3 linked regions of the Pelodiscus sinensis genome follow. The protein of the gene in region 1 interacts with the protein of each later gene in a pairwise test. Links are inferred from orthologs where the notes say so. Each region holds a gene or a part of one and is shown on either strand. Other genes may lie near its edges.

The links.
Region 2: the proteins of APPL1 (region 1) and UBE2O interact in binary tests that used the Homo sapiens proteins (3 or more experiments, as listed by UniProt). The two-hybrid records come from large-scale screens. The link is inferred for Pelodiscus sinensis from reciprocal best matches to the Homo sapiens genes APPL1 and UBE2O.
Region 3: the proteins of APPL1 (region 1) and ADIPOR1 interact in binary tests that used the Homo sapiens proteins (3 or more experiments, as listed by UniProt). The link is inferred for Pelodiscus sinensis from reciprocal best matches to the Homo sapiens genes APPL1 and ADIPOR1.

Annotation. Positions count from the first base shown.
Region 1 is NC_134721.1:27,194,698-27,198,446, reverse strand, and holds the start of APPL1 (DCC-interacting protein 13-alpha), read left to right. Parts: upstream 1-860; 5' UTR 861-1,141; coding exon 1,142-1,195; intron 1,196-3,749. UniProt on the Homo sapiens protein: Multifunctional adapter protein that binds to various membrane receptors, nuclear factors and signaling proteins to regulate many processes, such as cell proliferation, immune response, endosomal trafficking and cell metabolism.
Region 2 is NC_134730.1:10,274,326-10,278,074, forward strand, and holds the start of UBE2O ((E3-independent) E2 ubiquitin-conjugating enzyme), read left to right. Parts: upstream 1-940; 5' UTR 941-1,919; coding exon 1,920-2,351; intron 2,352-3,749. UniProt on the Homo sapiens protein: E2/E3 hybrid ubiquitin-protein ligase that displays both E2 and E3 ligase activities and mediates monoubiquitination of target proteins. Negatively regulates TRAF6-mediated NF-kappa-B activation independently of its E2 activity.
Region 3 is NC_134737.1:16,712,340-16,716,088, forward strand, and holds the start of ADIPOR1 (adiponectin receptor protein 1), read left to right. Parts: upstream 1-877; 5' UTR 878-1,021; intron 1,022-3,749. Other genes in the region: KLHL12 (kelch-like protein 12), read right to left, coding at 1-87. UniProt on the Homo sapiens protein: Receptor for ADIPOQ, an essential hormone secreted by adipocytes that regulates glucose and lipid metabolism. Required for normal glucose and fat homeostasis and for maintaining a normal body weight.

The sequences.
Region 1 (3,749 bases):
CTCTTTTTTCCCCCGTCACTAGCCTTTAAAATGTTTGACCTTATATTTGTGCTGTATTTCATTTTGCAAACGTTTTATTGTGTTCTGAATGGAGTTGAACTTAAAAGTGTTGACAAATCAAAGTATGAACACCATATACACCTCTCAGATATCCATTTTAACAGGGAAACTTGCTAACCTACGGGAACCACTCAACTCAAGTACTAAAGATCAAGACGTTCTATTCACAAAGCTATAAAAAGGGTCTTTGAAGAATAATGGGGGAGGCAGCATATTTTATACAAGGCCCCTGTGATCTAACAAACTGAGGATTAGCTACAAGCATGTTTGAAAATGGTCTTAAAATTCTGCTATGTTCTATGAACATTGCTGTACATTACAACCAAGTCCAAAAATAACTATTAAAAGGTTTTATTCCAAAACAACTTTGACGCTCAAAAACGTATCTGCGGCCAACTCCCAGACCAGGATCGGACGCCAGCAAGTTCTCTGAAGACAATGGCAACCTGTGGGCTCAAACCATGGTGGGGAGGAACTGCGTTCAAAACCTTCTAAGAGAAGGGGGCGAGGACAACGAAATCGCAGCGCGCTTGTGACCGCGTAAGGAAGGCTTAAAACCACGTGAAGCTCGAAATGTCTGAGCAGAAATCAAAGCCCAACGTCCTGCAGTTGAGGGAGGAAAGCGAAGTCCCAGGGGGCGTGTCCCCCTCAGACACACCCCGGACCGGCTCCACACAGTTTTCACACCTGTAGTCAGGCGGGCGCGGGGTGCGATGCTAAACTGAGACAGGGGCCCGGAGCGGGGCGAAGAGGAGGCCTCCGCGGGAGGGAGTCACCCCGGGCAAGAGCCTGGTTCCCGCTGTGCCGGCCTTAACGGAAATAACCACTCGCATCCTTGGAGAGCGCGGACGGGCAACCGCAGCGGCCCCGCTCCAGGCGTCACTCGCCTCGCGGGTCTTTCTTCCCCCGCCCCCCTAGATTGACGGCTCGGTTGAGCAACGAGGAGGCCGGGGGGAGGCGGGATTTCCTGGGCGGGGCTGGGCCCCGTGTTGTGGCTGTGCTGACGAAGAGGGAGGGGTCAGTCAGGTGGGCGCTTCGTAGGGTGTGTGGGCGCCTCGGCCCGTAGAGACCAGCTGTCGCCATGCCCGGGATTGACAAGCTGCCCATCGAGGAGACGTTGGAGGACAGTCCCCAGGTGAGAGGAAGGGGACTGAGTCGGGCCTAGGGCTGCCGCAGGTTGGAAGAAGGGCCCAGGGGCTTTGCGCCCGGCTGGTGCCCTCGGGCCCCGTATCGGGCGCGTTGGCGGCATAATGAGCGCTAGGTTGGGAGGCAGGTTGCGTGGCTGACTGGTGCGGTGAAGGGGCAGGAAACCGCGGTTGTGGTGTCTGGGGCGAGCTCCCAAGAGCCCGGGGAACAACCATTGGCTCGGGGCACAGGAGCGTCCTGTAGGGTCTGCTTCTATTTTCTGCCTTGCTTTCCTTGGTGCTCTCCGCGCTGCTGTGAACTACAGCAGCGTCAAGCCATAAATGGACTCCGAGCTGCCCCTTTGCCACTGTGTGAACTGGAGCAGGGAGTCAATTAATGTGTCAGTTTCCCCATGACGTCATCCCTACCTTGAAGGTGTGCTCTGCATATTGATTGTTTATAAACTTGGAAGTTCATCATATGACACCCTATGCCAGTGTTTCTGGAGCAGGGCTCCGCGAGGTCGACAAACTGGAAACATCGATAGGTACAACACATACAATCGGTGGACCGCTGGGGCTCCGCATAAGTACAACACATACAATCAGTGGACTGCTAGGGCTCTGCATAATTTTTTATGCATGTAAAGGGCTTCGGAGCCCCAAAAGTTTGAGAACTGCTGCTCTATGCTATTAGTCCTAGGGCCCTGCAGAAGTGTGATACTTGTGGTGACTGTCTCTGGTTCCTAAGAACTTAATTTTAAAGTACAAATTGTTTTATTTTGAAATAATCCTCAAAATATTTGTTAATGTGAGTCCTGCCTCTCTGTCTCCCAGCCAAAACTTACACATTTTTGTAAAAAAGAAATTAAGATGACAGCTTGGATTCATGAAGTGTTTCTGAGAGCTATGCTTAGACTGGAAATACATGCTGCTGGCTTACAGCTTTTTAATTACACTAATTTCTTCACTCAGCTTTTATTGCTTAATCAGTTGTGCTTGATATTAAAGGAAAATATAGCTAAATAATAATGTTTTATAGTTTGCCTCTTGACATTGTGAACAATGTAACATCCTCAAGCCCAAACATAATATTTCATGCTAAGCAAACACTGCACTTATTAGCAGAGAAATGTGAGCCTACAGAACGATCATAGAATACTGGAACTGGAAGCTACCTCAAGAGATCATCAGGTCCATTTCTCTGCCCTCATGGCAGTACCAAGCACTGTCTATATCATCCCCGACAGCTGTCTGGCTAACCTGATCTTAAATATCTCCAGTGATGGAGATTCCACAACCTCCTTAGGCAATTTATTCCAGTGTTTAACCACCCTGATAGGAAGTTTTTCCTAATGTCCAACCTAAACCTCCCTTGCTGCAGTTTAAGCCCATTGCTTCTTGTCCTATCGTCAGAGGCCAAGGAGAACAATTTCCCCCCTCCTCGGCAGTACAGCTGGATCCCAGCAGGGGGGCTGTGTGTGCCAGCAGCGGTGTTGCCTTGATGGGGCCAGGGGCGCTGCATGTGGAGAAGCCAGCTGGGAGGCTGGCAGCAAGGCCACGACTGGGGGGCGCCGGTGCCAGTGCCAGCGGAGGCACAGAAATGACCTTTCCTGGTCTGGCAAAATGCCTCATCCAGGATCTATCAGGTCCCAAGGGTGCTGGACCAAAGAGGTCCAACCTGTATGGTTTAAAAAAAAAAATTAAAGTAAGGACCTGAATAATACCAGCCAGGTACAACTAGAAGGTTTACTTTATAGACAACCAAATGGATGTTTCAGTTTAAATAAAAGAGTGATGTGGAAGCTATTTTCTTCTTACTCATAAAAACTTACTTAGTTTTTTATTAAAGTATTTGAGTATCTGACATCAGCATTTGTAGAACCTACTGTAGTGTCTTTGCACATCATCCTAATACATTTTAGGACCGTTTCTTCCACTATAAAATTTGAGAGTGTACACACTATTGTATACTCCATTCTTGAGTGTAGGTTTTTTGTTTAACTACTTTAATATAATTTCTTTAAAGTATAAGTAGTCCACTGCTTAGTCAAATGTTCATGTATCTAATGCATTTTAACTTGTCACAGGGCAGACTCACCACCATGGAACCTCCAGCTGGCAGTCCCGGGAATTAGCTCTCCCACTCACTGGACGCCTCCCTCTAGCTGGTGTCTCCCTGTGTTCTTACTAATCCCTTTGGTCCTGACCCGTGTCACTCTCTGATCATGGCATCCTCTTCTGGACACTGCCCTCCAACAGTGCCCACTCCAGTCTCTCTGCACCCCCTTCTGGGGGGGAGGGGCAGAACTGTTGTCTACCCAACTGCGCACTCCACGGTCCTCCCCTCCTAAGGGGCACCCAGTTCTTCTCCTAGGGACCACCCAGTTCCCCTGTACCCACTTTGCCCCAGTTGATCCACTGTCAGTCTTCATAGGCAAACTGCAGTCTGTAATGGCCACTCATCACTGGCAAAGAGGTGTGGACCTGCTGCTTTTGCTTACCACAAAAGGTGTGGATGGGATAAATGGACTGTAAGATGGATAGAAAGCTGGCTAGATCAGG
Region 2 (3,749 bases), on another chromosome or scaffold:
GGCATTTGAGAGGACAGCCCTTCAGGAAGGTTGCCCCAAGCCCAGTGGGCCAGCATCCTGGCCCCATTTCTGTGTGGTGAGGCCCAGAAGGCCTATTTCGACATGCCGGAGGAGGCTGCCACTGAGTATCCCCAGCTGAAGGCTGAGATCCTCGCCAGGTCGGGAGTAACCACTGCTATCAGAGCTCAAAGGTTCCATGAGTGGCAATATGGGAAGGGCAGAGCACCAAGGGCACAACTATTTGACCTGATCTACTTGGCCCTAAAATGGTTGCAGCCGGAGACCTACAGCCCGGAGAAGATTGTGGAAATTATTGTCCTGGACCGGTTTGAGGGACCTACCACCCGATCTGTGAGCCTGGGTCAGCCAGAATGAACCCTTCTCATATGACGACATGGTGGCCCTCATGGAAAGACAATTAATGACTAAAGGACTTTTGCAACCCCTCAGCAAAGCAGTCTGGAGAGACAAGATATTTGGACTAGCCCCAAAGGCCTGTGGCTCTAAACCCTCGAGTAAGACTTAGCCGGGGAAGAGGGAGACAGAAGAGCAGCCAGAGGCCGTAAATGGACTTGGGGACCAGGGGCAGGAAGGTCAGGGGTAAAACCCAGTAGCCCAAGAAATAGGGGGATGCCCTGGGAGGCCCCTGTAATCTCATAAATTTGGCAGGCATAGCAATGGTCCCCCATCTGTACACCCGACCTGTTAAGATGAATGGAATAGAGACCACGGCCTTGGTGGACTCAGGGAGCGTCGTTACATTGGTCTCTGGGCAGCTGATGGAACCAGACCAGCTGACCCATGCCAAGCGCACAGGGATCTCCTGTGTCCATGGAGATGTCAATTATTACCTTGTTGTCCCCGTACAAATAGAGATCCAGGGGAATGTCACAATGGTTGCAGTGGGGGTAGTTCCGAGGCTCCCATACCCAGTTGTGATTGGGTGGGACTTCCCTGGATTTAGTGACCTGCTCCCTACAACTGAGGGAAAGGAAGAGAGCCCCCTCCCAAGTTTTCATGAATTTTCCCAGGACCTATTTTCTGAGCTTGGGAAACCCCGGAAATCAAAGCAGAAAAGGAGGGCAGCCAAGAAACTGGGTACTTGAATTCTGACCCAGAACCTAAGGCAGGCCCTGGCCCGGGGGGAAACTGAGCCAACTGATAATGAAGCACTGAGAGAGGTAAACGAGCTGGAGGCTGGGCCTAGCTTAGCAGGGCCCCCTGGGATGAAAGAGGCTGAAGGTTCCCCAAAGCTCAGGCAGGTAGGGCCCTCGCTTGAAAATTTTGGACAGGACCAGGCCAACAACCCGCTGTATCAAAACATTCGTAGAGAGGTAGTTGAAGTAAACTGGATCCGTGTAGAAGGAAGGCTCAAGGGCCCTAGACCCTATTACATTATCAAGAGGGATCTACTATACTGAGTGCTGCCAGGCCCAGGACAGGAGGTGGAACAGCTCTTGGTGCCTCAGAATCACCGGCGAGCTGTGCTGGACCTAGCACACAGTCATTTATTTGGGGGGGTCACCTAGGAGTTGAGAAGACCCTAGATCGGATTTTAGGAAGGTTCTACTGGCCTGGGGTATATATATGGAGGCTCGGCGTTATTGTGCCTCTTGCTCTGAATGCCAGCTTCATGGGCCCCAGCCACACTTGAGAGCCCCAATGATACCCCTACCTATTATTGAGGTCCCTTTTTAACGCATCGCTATGGACCTAGTGAGCCCATTAGAAAAGTCAGCCTGAGGACACCGGAACATATTAGTGGTCCTGGACTATTCCACCCAATACCCTGAGGCAGTACCCCTAAGAAATACCCATTCTAAGACAATAGCAAGGGAGTTAGCTCAAATCTTCTCGAGGGTGGGGATACCCAAGGAGATCCTAACCGATCAGGGTACTCCCTTTGTGCGTGTAAGTTAATGAAGGACCTGTGTGCACTACTCCACATATGGGCTCTGAGGACGTCAGTATACCACCCGCAGACGGATGGCCTCGTCCAGCGGTTCAATCGCACCTTCAAGGACATGATCCGGAAGGTAGTGAGTCGGGACAGGAGAGATTGGGATTACCTACTCCCATGCCTCATGTTTGCCATTCGAGAAGTACCACAGGCATCCACAGGTTTTTCCCCATTTGAACTGCTATGTGGGCAAAACCCCCGGGGCCTTCTAGACCTTGCCAAAGAGACCTGGGAGGAGCAGACAAACCATGGACACAATATTGTAGAGCACGTCCTGCAGATGAAGGACAGGATCGCGCGGATAACCCCCATTGTAAGAGAGCACCTAGAAAAAGCCCAGCAGGCCCAGCAAACCTACTACAACCGTCAGGCAATGGTCCGGAAATTCCAGGTGGGTGATCAGGTAGTGGTGCTGGTCCCTGTGCACATTATGAAGGAAATGAGGTTTCATTAAAAAAAAGAACACCACAGCTTGGCTCAGGTTTCAGGTTGAGTTTACAGGACTGGCAGTTAGAAAAAGCACCTCTGATATTGAACAATTGAGAGACAATAAACATGGGACCCCATGATGCTATTTTTATTGTTCACCTAGAACTGTATTTTAACATAAGGGGAAGCATTTATCTTTTTTTCAGCTTATAACAAGATGAGCTGTGCTGCTGTAGGGGACAACCGCTACAAATGTGATTTACCTTCCAGCATCTGTTACTCAAGTTTTACAAACACAAATGCCTGTACTTAGTGCTTAAATTCTTATGGGTGCCCTGCTGGTCCACAAGGCAGACCATGTGAGTGAATTTAAGGCATAAGTATGACACCATCCACCCTCCATCTTAAAGACTACTCAGAAAATTCTGCATTCTGATCAGGCCCCCTATTGATAATTCTAGGAACGTCATAAAGTGGACAGCCCAGAGTTTCTGCCTGGAAACCCATTGCTCTCTGATACAAAAGCTTTGGCATGTCTCATTAAGAATGTAAGATCTCAGATTTCTCTCTTGGCATATAAATCAACTCCGGCCGTAAAGCTCACTTAACCAGTTGACTGACTCATGAGACCTAGGATATACTGCAGTCATGGTGTGTGATTGCAGCTTGTGTAGACATCTTGAGCTAGCTTTAATCTAGCTATTTTAGATACCTGGACTGTGGCAGCACTAGCTTTAGCTCAGGCTGTATATGTCAGCCAGAACACTGGATAGCTACTTGCAGGGCTAGATTGTGCTGAGGTGTACATAGCTGCAACATTGGTGCTAGATTAAAACTAGCTTGTGTATATTTACACAAGCTTTAGTCCCACTTTGTGACTGTAGTGTAGACATTACCTGTAGCTCCTAAGTCACTTTTACAAATAGTTTAGGTATTGTGGAGCACATTGCTCACAAGCTGCAAGTGCAATGCTGTTAATAGACTGCGGCTCTAGCAGTATTGTATGCACGTGTGTTTGGAGTTCCCTACTTCCCATGTACTGTGCACGGACATAATACAATTAGGGTTGCCAAGCATCCAGTATTGGCCCAGACAGTCCAGTATTTGCGGCTTCTGTCCGGTTTTAAAAAAAACATCTGGTGTATTCTGTTTTTCTCTGACAGAAGTCTGCTTGGGACATTCACCCCCTGCCATGTCTGGCGGGGAAAGCGGTGAGCGTGGGGATTTAGAGGCTCAGTGCCTCTTTCTTTTATGCCTTTTTTTTGCTCAACAACTTTGGTGCCCTGTTTTGTTTTTTTCCTCTCGACCAATTTTTTCCCCACCATGTTTGGTATTTTTTTTTTAAAGTATCTGGCAACCC
Region 3 (3,749 bases), on another chromosome or scaffold:
ACAGAGCGTACTGCTCCTCCGCAGGGCGTTCATGGCGTTCAGGATGGACTTGGCGTGCGAGTTGGTCATGATGTCCTTGGGGGCCATGGCGGCCCTGTTCTCCCAGCACGGGATGGGGCAGGGGGACAGTCTCTGATCCCAGGCCCTGCTCCTCCAGAAGCGTGGGGGGGGGGGGGGAGGGTGTCACTGTGGCCACGGGCCCCGCTCCCCCGGCACGGGGGGGGGGGGGGGTCACTGAGGCCCCGGGCCCCGCTCCCCCGGCACGGGGGGGGTCACTGAGGCCCCGGGCCCCGCTCCCCCGGCACGGGGGGGGGGTCACTGAGGCCCCGCTCCCCCGGCACGGGGGGGTCACTGAGGCCCCGCTCCCCCGGCACGGGGGGGTCACTGAGGCCCCGGGCCCCGCTCCCCCGGCACGGGGGGGTCACTGAGGCCCCGCTCCCCCGGCACGGGGGGGGTCACTGAGGCCCCGGGCCCCGCTCCCCCGGCACGGGGGGGTCACTGAGGCCCCGCTCCCCCGGCACGGGGGGGTCACTGAGGCCCCGCTCCCCCGGCACGGGGGGGGGTCACTGAGGCCCCGCTCCCCCGGCACGGGGGGGGTCACTGAGGCCCCTGGCCCCGCTCGGGGGGGGGGGTCACCGCGGGTGGCGGGACACGGGCCGGGATCTGGTGGCAGGTGAGCGAGGCCCCGAGACCAGGGAAGGGGCGGGGCTAGAACGCACCACGTGGGCAGCTGCCAGCTCTGCGCACGCGCCCAGCCGTGGGGAGGCCTAGGGCTCAAAGGGCGCAGGAAAAGCACTTTTAACTCACGCATCCAATCACATCGGCCGGGGGGTACCAGCGACCAATCGCGGGGAAGGTCATCACAGCAGCCTGTCGCCCGCCCCCAGCGGAAATGCTTGTGCCCTGAATCACGTGGGACACAGCGGCGGTGCTGCCTTTGGCGGAAGTGGCGTCACACCCGAGGCTGTTTCCGGTGTTGCCAGCCGGAGCCGCCGCTGCTGCTGCCCGGGATGTAGGGCCGGTGAGTGCGGGCGGGAAGGGGCAGGCGCGCGGCGCGGCTGCGGGCGGGGGGCCGGGTCCCCTCCCGGCGGGCTCGCTGGTGCTGCGGGCCCGGGGCCCGCCTAGGCGGCCCGCCGCGGGCAGAGTCAAGGCGGCCAAGGTGATGCCGGGGCAGCTGCTGCGGAGCCCGCCGGCCTGGCGCTGGGCTCCGTTCCCAGCGGCGCCTCGGCTCCCGCGGCTCTGGCCAGAGCGCGCCGGGGGCCCCGCGGCCCGACCCCCGCTCAGCGCCCCTACGGCGGCCAGACATTGACAATACAGGGCACGAAAACAGCCGGAATCGCTCCGTCCGATTGTCCCTCTTGCCCAATATCCCGCCTGCGGATGATGACTAATGCAAGGTGCTTCCGAGGGTGTGAACGGCGCCGGCAATGATCAAGTGAGCGATCCCTGCTGGTCCACACCCAACATCTGGGAAACCGGCTAGTGCAGGGGTGTCCAAACTTTTTTCAACGAGGGCCAGATTTGATGAAGTGAACATGCGTGAGGGCCGACCATTTTGCCTGACATTCTTTGAACCATTAAAATTAAATGCAAATTAACTATTTTACGCAAAGTTTATTGCAAACGACATACTTTTCATTTCGTCACATGGATGACAAATCTAAACAGGTGTTAAATCACTCTGCCTTTCATATCTGAAGGCCAGATGAAAAAAAAATCCAGGAAGCTGAAATATATGTCAGGAACATTGTAAAGTACATTACATATTATTGGTAATAAAGGTTGTCTGTCAACTTTTAAGTTCAAAAAATATGAACAGGAACATAACACCAAGTATACATGTTGTGTCCAAATATATTTTTAACTGATTTAGACCAACGGACATTAACTGAGATTTTACAATGTATTCATCTCAATTGGAAAAAAAACTTGCCTGCACTAATGTGAAGGGTGAAACTGAGATCTGGACTGCAGCACATAGGCTAGGTCTGGTTCAAAGGCAGTGGTTTTGATGCGCAAAATGTCACGCAGGTGAGAGTCACTCAGTCTTGTCCTCACGCGGTTCTTGTTAAACTTCATAGCAGAGAATGTCTTCTCACACATATGTTGAGCCAAACAAGCTCAGCATTTTCTTAGCCAATGTTCGAATCTCTTGAACCCGGCTCTTATCCAGTTGGCGGTAAAAGTTCACAAGAGAGAGCTGTTTGTGATGACTGCGTAACTCGCTGTCACAATGCAGCTCAATGAGCTCGAGCTGCAGCTGATCTGGAGCATCATCGGGGTCAACCGAGAATGGAGAGGAGAAAAGGCTGATCTCCTTTTCAATAGCTGCAAAATCCTGAAAGCGCCGTTTAAACTCCCCAGCCAGAGATGCGATGTCTGCTGCATACCTGCTCGTTTGCGCACTGATATTGTCCTGTGGAAAACTGTTCATTATTTCCTGCAATGCTGAAAAATGTATGGTATTGGGCTGTGTTTGTGACAACTGCCTTATGAAAAGTTGCAGCTTTGTTCCAAAGGCTTTGAGGTGTGAATAAAGCTGGTTCACCGCTGCATCTTTCCCCTGAAGACTCGTGTTCAGTACATTCAGATGCTTTGTTGTGTCAACTAGAAACCCCAAATCAGCCAGCCAAATAGGATCGGATAGTTCTCGCATTGATTGTCCCTTTGTTTCCAAGAATTCTCCGATTTCCTTTCTGAGAGAGTAGAAACGCTGCAGTGCAGACCCCCGACTGAGCCATCTTACATCGTTGTGATATAAAACATCTTCGTATTCAGCCTGGATGTCCAGTAGAAACTGTTTAAACTGGCGGTGGCACAGGGCTTTAGAGCGAATAAAATTAATAGTCTTTAGCACCGGTTTCATAACATGATCATATTTGAGATGTTTAGCACAGAGAACTTGTTGATGAATGATACAATGGAGTTTAATAGCTCTGCCTCCTTCTTCGATCACCTTGTTACAGATTAGGGTTGATAATCCACTTCGTTCACCAGCCATGGCAGGTGCCCTATCAGTAATAATCCCAGTAACTTTGTTCCAAGGCAGTTTCATGTCATCTATGGCGGAACTAACAAACAAATAAATCTTTTCCTCTTGTTTGGTCCGTAAGGCTCTGGAGGTCAAGTAGCTCTTCAGTCACATTCATTTCATCGTCCACCCCTCTCATAAAAATCAGCAACTGAGCTGTGTCAGATAGGTCCGTGCTTTCATCACAGGCTATTGAAAAGAAGTCAAAATCCACTCCTTTGGACGTCAACTGTCTCTTAATATCTGATGAAATCTCTTCAGTTCTCCGTGCTACAGTGTTACGAGCCAGGCAAATGTTGGCAAACTCTTGCTTCTTCTCGGGACAGATATTCTCAACCATTTTCATAACGCATTCTTTGATAAAGTCACCCTCAGCAAAAGATTTGCAATTTTTAGCAATTAACGTTGCCACCTCATAGCTCGCCCTTGTGGCATTTTCATTTGACTCACGGGCTCTTGTGAAAAATCGCTGTTGTGACATTAAAACAGCTTTGAGTTGCTTCAACTTTTCACTGCGGTCGCGCCGTGTTAGCTTGTCGTATGTGCTATGTCTCGACTGGTAGTGTCTCTTGACATTAGATTCCTCATAAACAGCCACAGTCTCTTGGCATATCAGACAAACACAGTGATTCCGTATTTCAGTGAAGAAATATTCCACTTTCCACCTGTCCCTCACTGTCAACTTTCCTTCTCTTATTTACAGTCGCCATTTTTGAAA